2 linked regions of the Tamandua tetradactyla genome follow. The protein of the gene in region 1 interacts with the protein of each later gene in a pairwise test. Links are inferred from orthologs where the notes say so. Each region holds a gene or a part of one and is shown in the gene's direction. Other genes may lie near its edges.

What was found. The genes of interacting proteins can lie anywhere in the genome.
Region 2: the proteins of RINT1 (region 1) and CCDC121 interact in binary tests that used the Homo sapiens proteins (3 or more experiments, as listed by UniProt). The two-hybrid records come from large-scale screens. The link is inferred for Tamandua tetradactyla from reciprocal best matches to the Homo sapiens genes RINT1 and CCDC121.

Annotation. Positions count from the first base shown.
Region 1 is NC_135327.1:143,943,470-143,951,053, forward strand, and holds the start of RINT1 (RAD50-interacting protein 1), read left to right. Parts: upstream 1-4,526; 5' UTR 4,527-4,721; coding exon 4,722-4,763; exon of another isoform or gene 4,764-4,831; coding exon of another isoform or gene 4,832-4,849; intron 4,850-5,270; coding exon 5,271-5,319; intron 5,320-5,645; exon of another isoform or gene 5,646-5,862; intron 5,863-6,509; exon of another isoform or gene 6,510-6,766; coding exon of another isoform or gene 6,767-6,776; intron 6,777-7,584. UniProt on the Homo sapiens protein: Involved in regulation of membrane traffic between the Golgi and the endoplasmic reticulum (ER); the function is proposed to depend on its association in the NRZ complex which is believed to play a role in SNARE assembly at the ER.
Region 2 is NC_135329.1:11,550,339-11,557,449, reverse strand, and holds the start of CCDC121 (coiled-coil domain-containing protein 121), read left to right. Parts: upstream 1-4,101; 5' UTR 4,102-4,286; coding exon 4,287-4,618; exon of another isoform or gene 4,619-5,025; coding exon 5,026-5,953; 3' UTR 5,954-7,111. Other genes in the region: GPN1 (GPN-loop GTPase 1), read right to left, coding at 305-371, 1,692-1,731, 3,129-3,222, 3,897-4,007.

The DNA of each region.
Region 1 (7,584 bases):
ATGGAATGTATGTGTGTGAAGATTTGTCAATAAAAATATTTTTTAAAATAGAGAAATCGTCACGCATATACAGTACATACATGGTATATAATCAGTGGCTCACAATATTATCACATATTTGCATATTCACCATCATGACCATTTTTAGAACATTTGCATCATTCCAGAAATGGAAATAAAAAGAAAAAACTCATACATCCCATACCCCTTACCTCTCCCTCTCATTGACCACTCATACTTCAGTCTACCCACATTTTTACCCTTTATCCCCCCCCACCCCGTGCGTGTTTGAAAGGCGTATGTACCCTAGAAAAGCCATGTTTTAATCCTATTCTATCTTGGGGAGGCACCCTTTCTTTTAATCCCTATTCAGCACTGCAGGTTGGAAATTTGATGAGATTACCTCCACGGAAATGTGCACGCCCAATTTTGAGTATTAACCTTTGAATAGAGGGAAATGTGACTCCACCCATTCCAGGTGGGTTTTGATTAGCTTACTGGAATCCTTTAAAAGAAGAAACATTTTGGAAAAAAACTTGAGAACCATAAGAGCCCACACAACCAGAGACCTTTGGAGATGAAAAAGAAAAATGCCCTGGAGGAGCCTCATGAAACAAGAAGCCTGGAGAGAAAGTCAGTGGGCGTCGCCATGTTTACCATGTGCTTTTCTAGTTGCTTTTCCAGGTGTGAGAGAAACCCTGAACTTAACAGGCCTTGCTTGAGTGAAGGTAACCTCTTGTTGGTGCATTATTTTGGACATTTTTATAGACTTGCCTTAATTTGGATATTTTTCACAGCCATAGAACTGTAAACTTGCAACTTAATAAAAAGTCCCCCTTTTTAAAAGCCATTCTGTTTCTGGTATATTGCATTCCAGTAGCTAGCAAACTAGAGCACCGTCTATTATTTATTATTTTTATCCTTATTTTTTTTTTACTCATCTGTCCATACTCTGGTTAAAGGGACATCAGACAAGATTTTCACAATCACACAGTCACATTGTAAAAGTTGTATTGTTATACAGTCTTCTTAAAGAATCAAGGCTGCTGGAACACAGCTCAACCATTTCAGGTATTTCCCTCCAGTCACTCCAGTATACCATAAACCAAAAAGGGTTATCTATATAATGCTTAAGAACAACCTCCAGGATAACTTCTCAACTCTGAAATCTCTCAGTCACTGAAACTTTGTCTCATTTCTCGCTTCCTCTTTTGGTCAAGAAGGTTTTCTCAATCCCATTATGCTGGGTCCTGGCTCATCCATGGACTTCTGTCCCATGTTGCCAAGGACATTTACACCCCTGGGAGTCATGTCTCCTGTAGGGAGGAAGGGCAGTGAGTTCACCTGCCGAGTTCACCTCTCTGGCTTAGAGAGAGAGGCCACATCGGAGCAACAAAAGAGGTTTTCTGGGGGAGACTCTTAGGCGTAATTGTAAGTGGGGTTAGCTTCTCCTTTGCAGGAATAAGCTCCATAGGGGTGAGCCCCAAGATTGAGGCCTCAGCCTATTGAATTTGTTGTTCCCATTGCTGTGAGAATATCAGGAATTCCCCAGATGGGGAAGTTGAATGTCTCCTCCTTTCTCCCCAGTACCCCAAGGGGACTTTGCAAATACATTTTTATTCTCTGCCCAAATTACTCTGGGATGTAGTGTTACATCACACTAAGCTGTACAAACCAACAGGATCTCATGCCCTATTCATGATTCCATGTAATTATGGTGTTTAAATAAACTGATCATACAAATTAAATTAGGAAATGCACTACCCAAAATATAAATTTTGCACCAAATAAACATTCTCCCTTTGGTCTCAAGTTGAAGTTTTAAAATATGGGCCATATTATCCTTTACCCTATATTCTGATTTACCTTAGTTCTATCCAAGTCAGCTTCATTCATATCTCTAGTTGAAATCTGATCACTTTTTCAACTTTTTAAACAGTTGCTGTATAGGGTAATGCTGACTTCTGTAGCTTCAATGCTCTAACACAGAGTTTCAGGTGTCATAAACATACCCGAAGTTTCAGGGAATGACCAGGTTATACTCAATTAGCTAAGTATCTCAGAATTTAGAAATAACAGTTACAATTCCTGAATATGTGTGACTGCTGAAAGAGCTTATAATTTAGAACCCTTTACAATAGGCCCCAACCTGACAACCCATGCTCTTGATTCAATTTTTTGAGTTTATATAGTATAGCCAGTCCATGTGAGTGAGGCATGATCATATTTCTTTTTGTTTCTGCCATTTGATTCAACATACTGCCCTTAAGTTTCATTCACCTAGTTGCAGGGCTTACAATTTCATTCATCCTTGCAGCCACTCAGTCAGTTGTACGTATATACCACAATTCCCCCTTCCTTCTCTCAGTGGTTGTACCCTTAGGCTACCTCCATTCATTGGAAATCCACCAACCAAGTCCCATACCTATGCCCCTGGCCCTAAAGCCCCCGAAACTCCTAACCTACCACAGGGGGCCCCGTAGGCATCATCAGCACCCCCACTAGCTAGCCTCTATCTAACCCCACCGCCCCCAGGGGGGCGTGACTTCCCCGCCCGCACCCTGAGCACCTGGACCCGGGAACTCCCCCAGGATAATAAACTTTTTTAAACTTGGACTCAGTTCCTCTGATTTTTCAGTTGGCTATCGTTTGAAAACATAACATTATCTATTGACTTCACTTAATGGAAAATGAGGATTTGGTTCTTCTTCCTTTCCCTTATCTTCATCACACTTCTCATATCTCTATCTGTCCAATAAAGTTCTTTTGTGCTTGTTTTTAGAGCTTTGTTTACTTCATTTTGATGAGGTAAACATTATTCACATCTTAGGTAAGTAATAAACCATGATTACTTCACTTTTCCTTCAAGCTTTTGTTTTTTTCTATAGTTAATGATCTTCTTTTGGTTTACTTATTCATCATTCCAAATCCAAGCTCTCTACTAATTGTTGAAATCTCCCCCTCCAGAGGATGAGATACATGAACTGTTCTATCAATTTCTTCTTTCTGAAGAATCTCTTCTGGAACCTTCTGACCTGTGTGGCTCTATGCCTAGTGCACAATTATGGCAATTCACTTTATTTTTCTCCATTGTTTATTTTCTATTTCCTATATCCTGTGTCTTCTTTTCCTTGTTTACTCCCTCATTTTAGGGGAGTACAACCTCTTGCTACTTCCTGAGAAAGGAGAGATAAATGAAACATATATTTTTTTAATTCTTGAATATGTGAACATATCTTTATTTCAGCTCAATCAAGTATAGGATTTAGTTTGAAATAATTTTCCTTTTGAAATGAGAATTGCTTCTCTGTTTTTAGCTTCCTTTGTTATTGTTGAGAAATCCAAAGATTTGTTGAGAAATTAACTTTGTAAATTATCTATTTTTCTCTCTGGAGGTTTAGGATCATCTTTTTGGCCCCCATGTTCTGTAGTTTCACAGTGATGAGCCTGGACACTTAGTGGGCCCTTTCAATCTGGAAACTCATGACTTTCAGTCTGGGGAAATTTTCATGAATTGTTTTGTTGATGATCTCCTCCATGCTTACCTCTTCTCATTTTCCCTTTCAGAAGTTTTATTTTTAGTTTTGGAACCCTTGGACTGGTTCTCTAATTTATCTTTTCTTTTCAATTTTCTATCTCTTTGTTCTTCTGCTTTTTTTTAAAGGATATTTCCCAACGTTTATCTTCCAACTCTTTCACTGAACTTTTCATTTCTGCTATCATATGTATAGCTGCTTGTCTTTGAATGCTACTTAAAAAAAATCTGCTCTTTTTTTTTATGGTTGTGATGGTATCTCATACCCCTCTCAGGATATTCATAATATATTTTTTAGTGTTCTCCTCATTGAACGGTTTCTGTCTCCTCTAGCTTTCTTAATTGCTCAAGCAAGTTGTCCCCACCCCCTTGTGTTTTGGTTTTTATCGTACTATTTTCTGTGCTAGTTTGTTTGTGAAATTGTCAAATCCCCAGGTCCTCTCTCTACTCCTTGCCACTAGGTAACTCCTCTTTCTCTTTCTTGTCAAAAGATAATTTGTGTGCGTATGTGTGTGTGTTTGTGTCTGCACTGGGCAAAGTGTATGTTAGATGTTAGGTGCTGCGACCTCTTCCTCCGTTCAGCTCTCAGAACACTTACAATCAGATCTGCATCCTCCAGGCAGGAAATTGGACGATCATCCGAAGAAAACCTGACCAGCCTCAAAAGAAAGATCCAAAAATACTGACATTGGAAATTCCCCCAACTAAATAGCCCAAACTAACGGCTCCTAGTCGACAAGCTCGCTCACACTTTCGGAACATCTTTAAGTGGAAGCAGAAAAACGAAGGACATCATCTTAAATGTAAATTTAAATACTTTATACTGAATTTGTGGCGTGGAGGGAGGAGTATCGTCAAGCTGCATAATAGAGCGCCCCAACGCCGCGTACGGGGCTTTACCATGGTTGAGAGGAACCTTACTCCCTGCAACAGAGGCGGCTGACTCAGTTCCTGGCCGGCAGGGGGAGCTACGCCGCGCGGCCCGCGACTGCGCGGACCCGGCCTCTCTAGTCGGAGAGGAAGAAACCAGAGAGACGGTAGGAGGAAGTCTCGGTGGCGTTTGGTGTTCAGAATTGAAGTCTGTAAGACTGATCTGGTCTTTCGTCCCGGCAAAGTCTCTGGCCCGGGCTGTATTCCACAGTCCACACTGGCTGCGCATCAAGCCGAGAACACGCGCGGAGGCGGGATGCTCACGGCTGACGAGATCGGCGAAACGCCCGCAGCCCCGGTGAGACGTCCGGGTGAGGGGTCAAAGTAAGGTTGCAGAAACCTCCCGAGAGAGGTAGTCCCGGGAAGATGGCCCTTGTGACCTCGGTAAGGTGGCCCGGGCCACTCCGGTGAGATGGTCCCACAATCCCCAGGGAGGTGGCATTGGTGGCCCAGATCTCCCGAAAGGGTTAGTTCTGGTGAGAGACCCTACAATCCGGGTAGGTGACACGGGCGGTCCCGAGGGAGATGCCCTTGCAATCCTAGTGAAGTGGCATGGATCTCCCGAGGCATCTTGTCCTGGTGACGTGGCCCTGGCAGCCCGATGAAGTGGCTCTGGCAGACCCGGTGAAATGGCACAGACCTCCCAGGGAGGTGGTCGTTTTTGAAGCGGCATCGGACCATTCTAACCTTTCAGGAGGGCACCAAGGAAGGGGTCTGGGACTGCTCGCCCGTCCAGTAGAACCCTGCCTGAGTTCCACCCAGAACTTGGGTCTTAATGTGTTTGTCACACCTCCTCTCCTTTCAGTGCTGTCCTCAGAATGGTGAAGAAGAAAGGAAGAACGTCGAAGAAAAAAGTAAGCAGGCTTCAAACACCTTAGTTTTTTCTGCCCGGCCATCACTGAAAATTCAGCCTTCCGAGGTCCACATCAGAGAAGGGGTCTTACTTATCCTGTTATTTTTAGATGAGGCGTCTTTTTTCTGTACAATAAGCTTATATAATATTAAATACTGGTTATTTTACACACATTTTTGTCTTAACTTTATAAAATTGTAGAATATGGGATGCTTTGGAGAAGATCACTTCCTGATCCCTACTTAGTGCAGGGATTGGTGTTTTCCGTGGAGTTCTGCCCATCATACAGGATTCAAAATAACCTGGGGACCTGCCTGTCATTTACAGTGAGTGAAACACCAACTCATTAAGCATCATGAAATTAGGAGGGACTAATTACCTAGGAGATGTGACCACCACCTTAAATGGATTCGGAAGAGTCAAATGATGACTATTTAGTTGTACTTTTAAACATCAGTGTATTCGCAATTAAAAATTGTCGTGGGATGAGCACAATGGATTATATATAATCTGGATCTTGATCTCAATGCAGAAGGTGTATAAGGTCAGTATCTGCCTTTCCTCCCTAGGATAGAAAAATATGTCAGGATATATATGTTTGTCATTTTACTATCATGAACCGAGCATGGCAGACTATTGGAAATAGGAATCATCAGAAACTTTTGAAGTGAAAATTTATTGGGAGAGTAGGAGGGAAAATACATAATAACTATTCTGTTAGGAGCCTTTTGGTTCTTCTGACCATGCAAAAAGTCTGCGAAGAGTAATGGTAACACTCTTGTACCCTTGTACCCATGTTACCATATGGCCTTTAGGAATCAAACTTACCCTTGACATTCCCACCAACGTATTCTGCCCCAGAAAGAAAACTCTAAGTAGTGCTTAGCATTTCACATTCATAGCCACCAGAATTCAGCTCTTTTTCCTTGAAGGATTTGAGGCTAGGACCCTCCAACTCAAACCCTTCCCTTTTGTACTTTTTGCCCCATTCAGGTACCTGGGAAGTTTAATACCTGCTGAGCAGTCATTTCAGTAAAATGATAGATGTTGATTTTAGCATTTGTCCTGTCTCTGCCTTGGTGGCTCAGTTAATTACTTTGCAATTTGGAATGCTCTTTACAAAAAAATAGAGAAAAATAAAAACCTCCTGTTTTAGCTTCCTTAGTTGCTCAAGCAATTACCATGAATTCGTTGGCTTAAACAATGGGAATTTATTATTTTACAGTTTTGAGGGTAAAAGAAAGTCCAAATCAAGGCAATGCTTTCTCCCCAAAGACTGTGGTATTCTGAGGCAACTGCTGGAGATCCCTTATCCTTGGTCCTTAGCTTGTCATGTGACAAGGCACATGGCAGTGTCTCCTGGTCTCTCCCTTCTCTTCCAGGTTTCCCAGATTCTCTGTTTCTGGCTGTTCCCTCTGTGGCTTTCTCTTTGTCTGAATTTCATCCTGTTATAGAGAGCTGTAGTAATAGGATTAAGAATCATCTTGATTGAGGTGGGCCACACTTTAACTGAAATAAAGTCATCAACAATACCTACTTACAATGGATTCACTTCCATAGGAATGGTTTAGGTTTAAGAACACATTTTTCTGGGGTACATACAGCTAAAAATCACCATACCTTCTAAATCACCAATGTGCCATTTTGAAAAATGTTATTTGATTAAGAATGTACTATGCTGGGTGGACCATGGTGGCTCAGCAGGCAAGAATGCTCGCCTGCCATGCCAGAGGACCCGGGTTCGATTCCCAGTGCCTGCCCATGTAAAAAAAAAAAGAAAAAGAGAATGTGCTATGCTGCATTTAAATGGTTACATCAAAAGGGCTTAATTTTTTTTTTAATATGTAGATATAATTTACTTCTTAAGGTACAGCAACAATAGCATTCACAAAACATCCTGTTTCTTCATAGCTCTACCTCCATTTGTCTGCAGATATACCACACGACTCACTTTTGTTTTATATAAGATAAATAAGAAAAGAAGGCATTGTGACTTCTGTACATAATAGTGATGGATTTCTGAACTAATAAAGTTTTGGTGCAGGCCAGCCTATTCTCCTCATGTGTGAAGAAGAAGAAAATATTTTGGGTTAAGAGTTTGGAAAACATGAATTTTAGTCCAGTTTCCAACTTCTAAGAGTAGCCTGAGGCAAATTTTATAGATTTATTTTGTAGTTGGGAAATTGAGCTGCAGTTTTTTGTTAGTTTTGCTTCTGGATCTCATAGCATGTGAATAGTCTTTTAATTCTTATAAGTTTAATAGAAC
Region 2 (7,111 bases), on another chromosome or scaffold:
CCATTCTGTGCCTGTTAAGCCATCCCACTCCCCTCTTCCTCCATCCACAATTAGGATAATACAACAAATGAGGAACAGATTAAAAAGTGAACCCAGATTTTTTGTTATTTTTGTTCTACTGGCTGTCACATAATACTGACGAAAACACATAATACTCCCATAAACTTATTTGCCTAATAAAATGCCCACATATTATCTACAGTTATACTCAGGTTTATGTTTCTTCTTTCCCACTATGCTCAAATGAAGTCATTTAAGAGTCACAAGTTTTTGCAAAGCCATGTCCATATGAACAGACACATACCTGATCAAACCTGGTAGCAAAGAGATTGAGTGAGGTCACAATGCCACCATTGGGCCCAAGTCCATACCTACACACTAGGTTAAGGATTCAAATTGTTTACATATCAATTTAGATTATAAAGTCCATACTCAAGTTATCAGTCACAAAAACAATATTATGGCATTAGTGTGCCATTAATGGATATTCGCAATACAATCCAATAACTAGTTATGTACCATACAATCTTAACCTCACAGGGAATCATTCACTATCATGGTCCTTTGTTCATTTATCACCTTTAGTGTTGGCCAAGCAAAATGAAAATACCAAAGTGACAAAAATGCAATGGACAGAAGCACCAGGCAGTGACAGCCTGTTAGCATTAGCCACTACGGTGGCAGTTTGGAGCTGTCATGTATTTCAGAAAAGGCCATGTTCTGTTCATCCATTCCTGTAGGTGCAGTCCTACTGTGGGCAGGACTTTTTGATTAGATTATTCCAGATGAGGTCTGCCCTAGGGTGGGTCTTAATCCTTTTACTGGAGTTCTTTTTTGAGAGAATAAAAGAGGGAAAAGTCAGGAAAGCTAATAGAAGGAATTCAGAGAAGCACACAGAAAAAGACACAGAAGCTGAGGAAGGAAACCAAAAGTTGAAGGCAACAAAACTCTACATCGAAGGACCTGGGCACCATGTGCCTTCTTATGTGACAGAGGTGTACTGGATACTGGCAGCTGGCCTTCCGTGTCCCGGTGTTATCCTGTTGATGTCTTGAGCTGGACATTTTCACAGCCTAAGAATTGTAAATTGTAAGTTAATAAATCCCAAGTGTAAAGGCCAACCTATTTCTGGTATATTACATTCCAACAGCTTTAGCAAACCAAAACAATCATCTTTATAACATTTCTTACTCTGATTCTGACTAATCAAGCAACTTGCTGGTTACAATTAGTCTTCTTACCTAGAATAACCCACAGGGAGAGAGAACATTTCATACAGCAATGTACTAAGAGTGAATCCTACCAAGCCTACTGATTTCTGAATTTCCCAGTCAGGAGAAGTGGTGATCAAATGGGGTGTACCTTCTAGTGCAATGCTACCTGGTAGGATCCAGGGCAGGCAGTCAGCTAGTCTCTCATTTTCACTGCTCTCTCATTACAATGGCGAGCAATCTGGGAAGATGGTAAGAAAACTGAAATCACAAGCTAAAATTATTATCTTGATCATCTATAATACTTCTCCCACACCCATCTACTATCTCCTCCTAATAAAATCACTTTAAAACAATCTAATGATTTTGCGCCTGTGTTTCAGAAGGAAAGGTAAAAATATTCTTTACAAAGTCATAAAATATACAGAAAATAATGGATCTGGGACAAGTCAACATCAAAGCAGACATAGAAAAGGATACTGTTTCATGACTTCTTTATACTTCACAGTGTCACGAATATCTGGAGGGAAAATTAACTGAAATTTAACACGTAAGAAAAATATAGTTTGAGACCCTCCTATAATATCCTAAACTGACAGTCAGAAAAAGTCATCTCTGCTTCCTCTGAGGAAAAATTAAGTATCTGAGTTACTTTTCATATCATTTATGTAAACTGTTAAATAAGAACACTGAATTGAGATAAGAAAAGAAGCAGGACCATGAGGAAAAAGAACAGAAGCGCAAAAGGTACCCTGGCAGCAACTTTCGTACCAGTAAGAAACTGAAACTAGATTTCTAGGCTTTTTTTGTTGGCTTTCTCCAATTTCTTCACCCTCACATTGGTTTCCTTCCATACAAAGGATAACTGCCACGTAATCTATAAATAATGTTAGTAAAGGAGCTCTCAAACTGCATGGTAGAGATGAGACAAGGTAAAAAATTTTGTATGACTTAAATATCATATTAGTGGCCATAGGCACAGAAAAAGAGTGCTAGATCAAGGGGAAAAAAAACAGATGATTTCCTTCTAATTATCTACTAGTGACAAAGACAACGAAGACATGATTTTTTAATAAGATTTAATATGTCCAGTAATATCTAATTAAACCCATCCAGCAGTCTATAGACTTCCCCTATCAACTATTAGAACTTCATCCTTAAAATGAGATGGGCAGTTTTTTTCACTCTTCCCAGAATTATCTTGCTTCTTAATCCAGTATTCCTTTCATTAATATGTGTGGAGTACACAAAGCTTACTCAGGATTAAGAAGAGATAAGGAGGAATAGGATTTGCACACAGCAATGGCCTAGAAATCAAAGTCTAGATCCTATCAAGAATCAGGACACAGGACTAAATTCATTCTTAACCTTTTTTGGAATCACAGACTCTTCTTAGAATCACAGGAAAATTAAGAAACTCTTCCCAGAGCTTTATACATATATATATATACACATACACACACACACACACATTTAGGGGAGTGGGAGCAAGATTCCTATAGATCAGCAAGTGAACTGAAGCATAAGAACACTTACGTTCTAACTAAACTTTGAGACACTAAATAGAAAATATTTATGCATCAGAATCTGCTGAAAGGTTTATAGTCTAGAAGTGAAAAGACTGACTTTACATCACTTCATTTTCCCAAATTAAAATAGCCTGGCACACTAGAGTCAGAAAGAGAAGTGATAAAGGTGAGTGGGAAGGAGGTAAAGAAATGCAGGAAAGGCAAAAAATAAACAACAACAAAAAAACATGAATAAAGAAGAAGCCTGGACAGGAACTCCAGTGACTCCAAGGGAAATGAAAGTAGATAGTTAAGAGAAGATAAAAAATGAAGGCACTGAAGAAAGCAAGGCTCAGGCTTTCCAGTCCCTTTAAGGCATTTCACACAAGTTCTTCCATGGTTCACTCACCAATATTGGCAGGAAAAGGGACTTCATGCACCGCTGGGTCCAGGTTGATCACATAAGGTGGAGAGCCTTGGCTATGCAGATGTCCTGTGAGCCTCTGCAGACATGGGGAGGGGAGGTGGAAGAAGATATAAGGGGATGAGAAAAATTCCAGTCATTTATCGACCATGCCTAAAGGCATTTTTGCACTTTCATTTCCGTCTACATGAAACATCCGCCCAGATGCTCACCTCCAACATTCAGCTCGCAGTCCAAATGCTGTCTTTTTCTATCCATACAAGAGCCTCCCGTGCTCTCTAGCACTTGTTCTCTGTGTACGGGAGTGGGTTTTTCTGACTCCCCCACCAAAATATAAAAACATTAGTTCCATGAAAGCAGGAACTTCGTCAACCTCATTTTCACCGTATCCCCAGTTCCTGGAACAAGGTAGTGGGCAATAAATAATTCCTGAACAAATCTCCGAGAACCTGTTAATCGCTAGAGCTGCCAGTAAAATCCCTACCTACGAGAACTTCACAATTTTATCGGGAATAACTTGGTAAGTTGTACCAAGTATGTATTGAGCATTGAGGGTATACAAAAGAGAGCCTTAACTGACCGAGGCTAAATTCCGATAAGACTTCGTGGAGCAAGTCACTTAGGCTGAGAAGTCCCCCAAAGCCACGCGTCGCTACCTCCAACTCCCCAGAAAACTCCCTTTCTCCCTGAGACTTTGGCCCGCCACGGACAACCTCTCGCATACATGTTACTACACCCGCGCCGTATACTTACCTGTACAAAGGTGGTTTTCCCAGATCCTGCCATTCCCAACACTAACAGACAGACTGGAGGATGCGGGCCACCTGACGCCTGAGCCTCAGCTGCAGCTGCGGGGGCCGCCATTTTCCTACTAGCTCCGCCTGCCCGACGATAGAGACGATGAGAGGCTAGAGAGACTTGCGCGACGCTCTGGGCTGCGAATGGACGTAAAGCCGACTGGGCCCGGAAGAGAAGGGCATGCAGGGGCGGGACCGGCTGGGGCGCCAACTGGTGACAGTGGGGAAGTGGGGCCGCTAGGAGACCAAAAGGCGTGCCGCAGGGGCCAGGAAAAGGTGGAAAGCCTGGTTCCCAGGAGGGCGAGAGGAGACGGGAGCCCGAGGGCAGGGCTCCCGCAGTAGGAAAATGAGGAGAGTGGGTTTCACTTTCGGCCCCCAAGAAGCCGAGAGCAGAGCTGCGAGAGGACTGGCTGCCAGGGCTTCTTCGGTAACCGCAGAGGTTAAACAACTCACGGTGGCACGGAGCCAGATTGGGGCGGGAAGCGACTATAGGAGTTGCTGGGCATCGCCGAGACACACCGAGCACAAAACAGAGAAACTGCGAAAACTTTCTGCATTTGGATGCCGTCCCGGCTTGTCGCAGGCCCCTGACACTAGCGCCCGCCTCTCGGCTATCGCCTTCAGTAAACTACACAATTACCATCACCCTGGGGATGAACGCGTGTATTCCTGGCACGAGTGAGTTCAGAGGGGGCTCGGGAAAGGTGACGCAAGAGCCGAGAAAAATTATTCCTACTCAGACCTTACCCAAGCCAGTTTCGGTGGCTCTCAAAGTGTTCAGTGAGTTCCGGGTTCCACACCCAGGCTTTGCCACTTGCTGGGCAAATAATCTGAACCTGTTTTCTCATCTTTAAAATTAATAACCTCCCAGGGTTGTAATGATCCAGTATTGTAAACCGAAAAATACTGTACCTCATCTTTACACGTAGTCGTATTCCCCTTGCTTTCCAGTGTCCAGAACACAAAGCGGTGCTCAAAATTACTTTCTTGTATGAATTAAAGTACAAATGTGCGTTTAAAAAAAATTATTTCCTAAATGTCCATTAAGAATTGATGGGGGATTGTCTCACTTGTTCCTCCTTCAGGTTTGCTGAAAGTCCCAGAAGGCCTTCTTCAAGACCTTATCTTGGTTTAAAAAATGGTTTTTCCAAAGAAGAGAATCTAATAAAGGCTGAGATGATACTTAAAGAGAAGACAGTGGTGGAAGTAAAGGAGTTGAAGGAGCAAATAAAACAAGCTCAAATCCAGCAGGAACAGCTCCTGGCAGACAACAGGCATCTATACACTGAAAAGACACTTGTCCAGGCTGAAAACAAATTCTTTCTGGAATACCTGACCAACAAAACTGAGGAATATAAAAGGCAACCTAAGAAGCTGTGGAACAACTTTTTACAAAAAAGTGGGGAGATTGAAAGACATAGGCAAGAATCAGCCTCCAAATACGCAAAACAGATTTCAGTACTTAAAGCAGAGCTCTTGCAGAAAGAAAAGATCCAATTCAATTTGAAGCAGCAGTTGGAAGCAATGAGGGGCATTTCTATAACAAAGGAAAAACAGGAGGCAGAAGTGCAGACATTACAGAATGCAAAAAAGAAAGCCGAAACCAAGGCAACTGCAAAGATAGAGGAAACAAAGACCCAGTTGCTCCAAGAAAAAGCATTACTGGAGAAACAATTGAGCGAGCCAGACGTAAGGCAGTTGGGAAAGAAAAATAAAAGGGAGGTTAAGAGGAAAAACCAGGCCTTGGAGTGGACCACAAAGCAGTATACTCTTGAATTTTACCGTGGCATTAACAGAGAGAGCCAACAGTTACAGAAGAAAATACTGCAGCTCCTTCAGCAATGCCAGGAGTTGGAGGCTTCTCAAAGCCAGTTAAAATACAGGAAGCAGCAGCTGCAGCAAGAACAGTGGTATCTGGAATGTTTAATTCGGGGGCGACAACGAATGCAAAGAAGGCATAATTGGTGCCTACAAGGACAGGATGCTCCAAAGATTAACCAAAATATTTCCTAAACTAACACTGCTTAAGTAAGCGCTAAAGCAAGTTCTCTCAGGTGTTAAACTAACCAGGTTGGGAAGGTTTGGGAATCCATTGCTATGGTTAAATACCTTTCATGGTGTGCTGGGATGAAAAGATAGGGTGCTTATTTTCAGCGGTCCTCCATGATGTTTGTGTGACCAGCATCCCTTAACTCCCTCTTCATTTAATTAACTCTTGCTAGTAAACAGGGTGTTCCACAAACCTCCACGTTAACTAAAATACCTGACCCTAACTTAACACTAACCACTTACCAAACACCCATACTTCAAACTAACTCAAGAAAGCCAACTTGAAGAGGTTAGACGAAAACAGATGTGTGATTCATTTCATTTTGCTAACTTAAGAGTTCTTTCTAGAACTAGCACCTTTAAGGCCAGAGCAAGCACCTTTAAGGATAGCTTTCTGCTTTGTAAATAATTTATATCGATGTATCCTCATTCCTTTTGGCATTCTCAGCAACGTCAAAAGTGCATTATCAATTCTTATTAAAATTTTTGCCAGTGACGAGGTAGATCTTCTATAGTTTTCTCATTAAGTGCAAAGTATTCTGACAACAGCAAGTCCAATAAGTGCTTGGCAGAATAACCTTTGGTTTGATGCTAAGCCCTTACAATTTTAGCTTTGAATAAACTGAGAAGTTGAAGGGGCCATAAAATAGGTTAGTTACTCTTTTAAAAATGTTTTCTGCGAAGAAACACTTGGAGCATCAGAAACACTTGGAGCATCAGAAACACTTGGAGCATCAGTGGGGTTAATGAATGCCTCTGCTTGTTTCAGGAAAACATATCAAAAGTTTAAAAATATTTGGACAATTTTTTAAGGAGGCTTGTGTCATCCGTTGTCATCCTATTTCCCTAGCAGCATTCTAAATTCCAAGATGACAGGTAGAAGTACTTAAGGATAATAAATATTTTAGTTTTAAGTCATTTATTCTATTTTTGTACTACACATCACTTTATAATCAATGTATGCCATATATTTATGTCCTATGTTTAGAATTGGTGATACTACTTTTAGGTTTTTAGAGTGGTTGTATTTTTTTTTTGCATCTATGACACTAATGGTTAGACCAGTGATTTATTTCAATGTTGAGTCCTAGTTCAGTAATAAAATCCCATATTTTAACACTG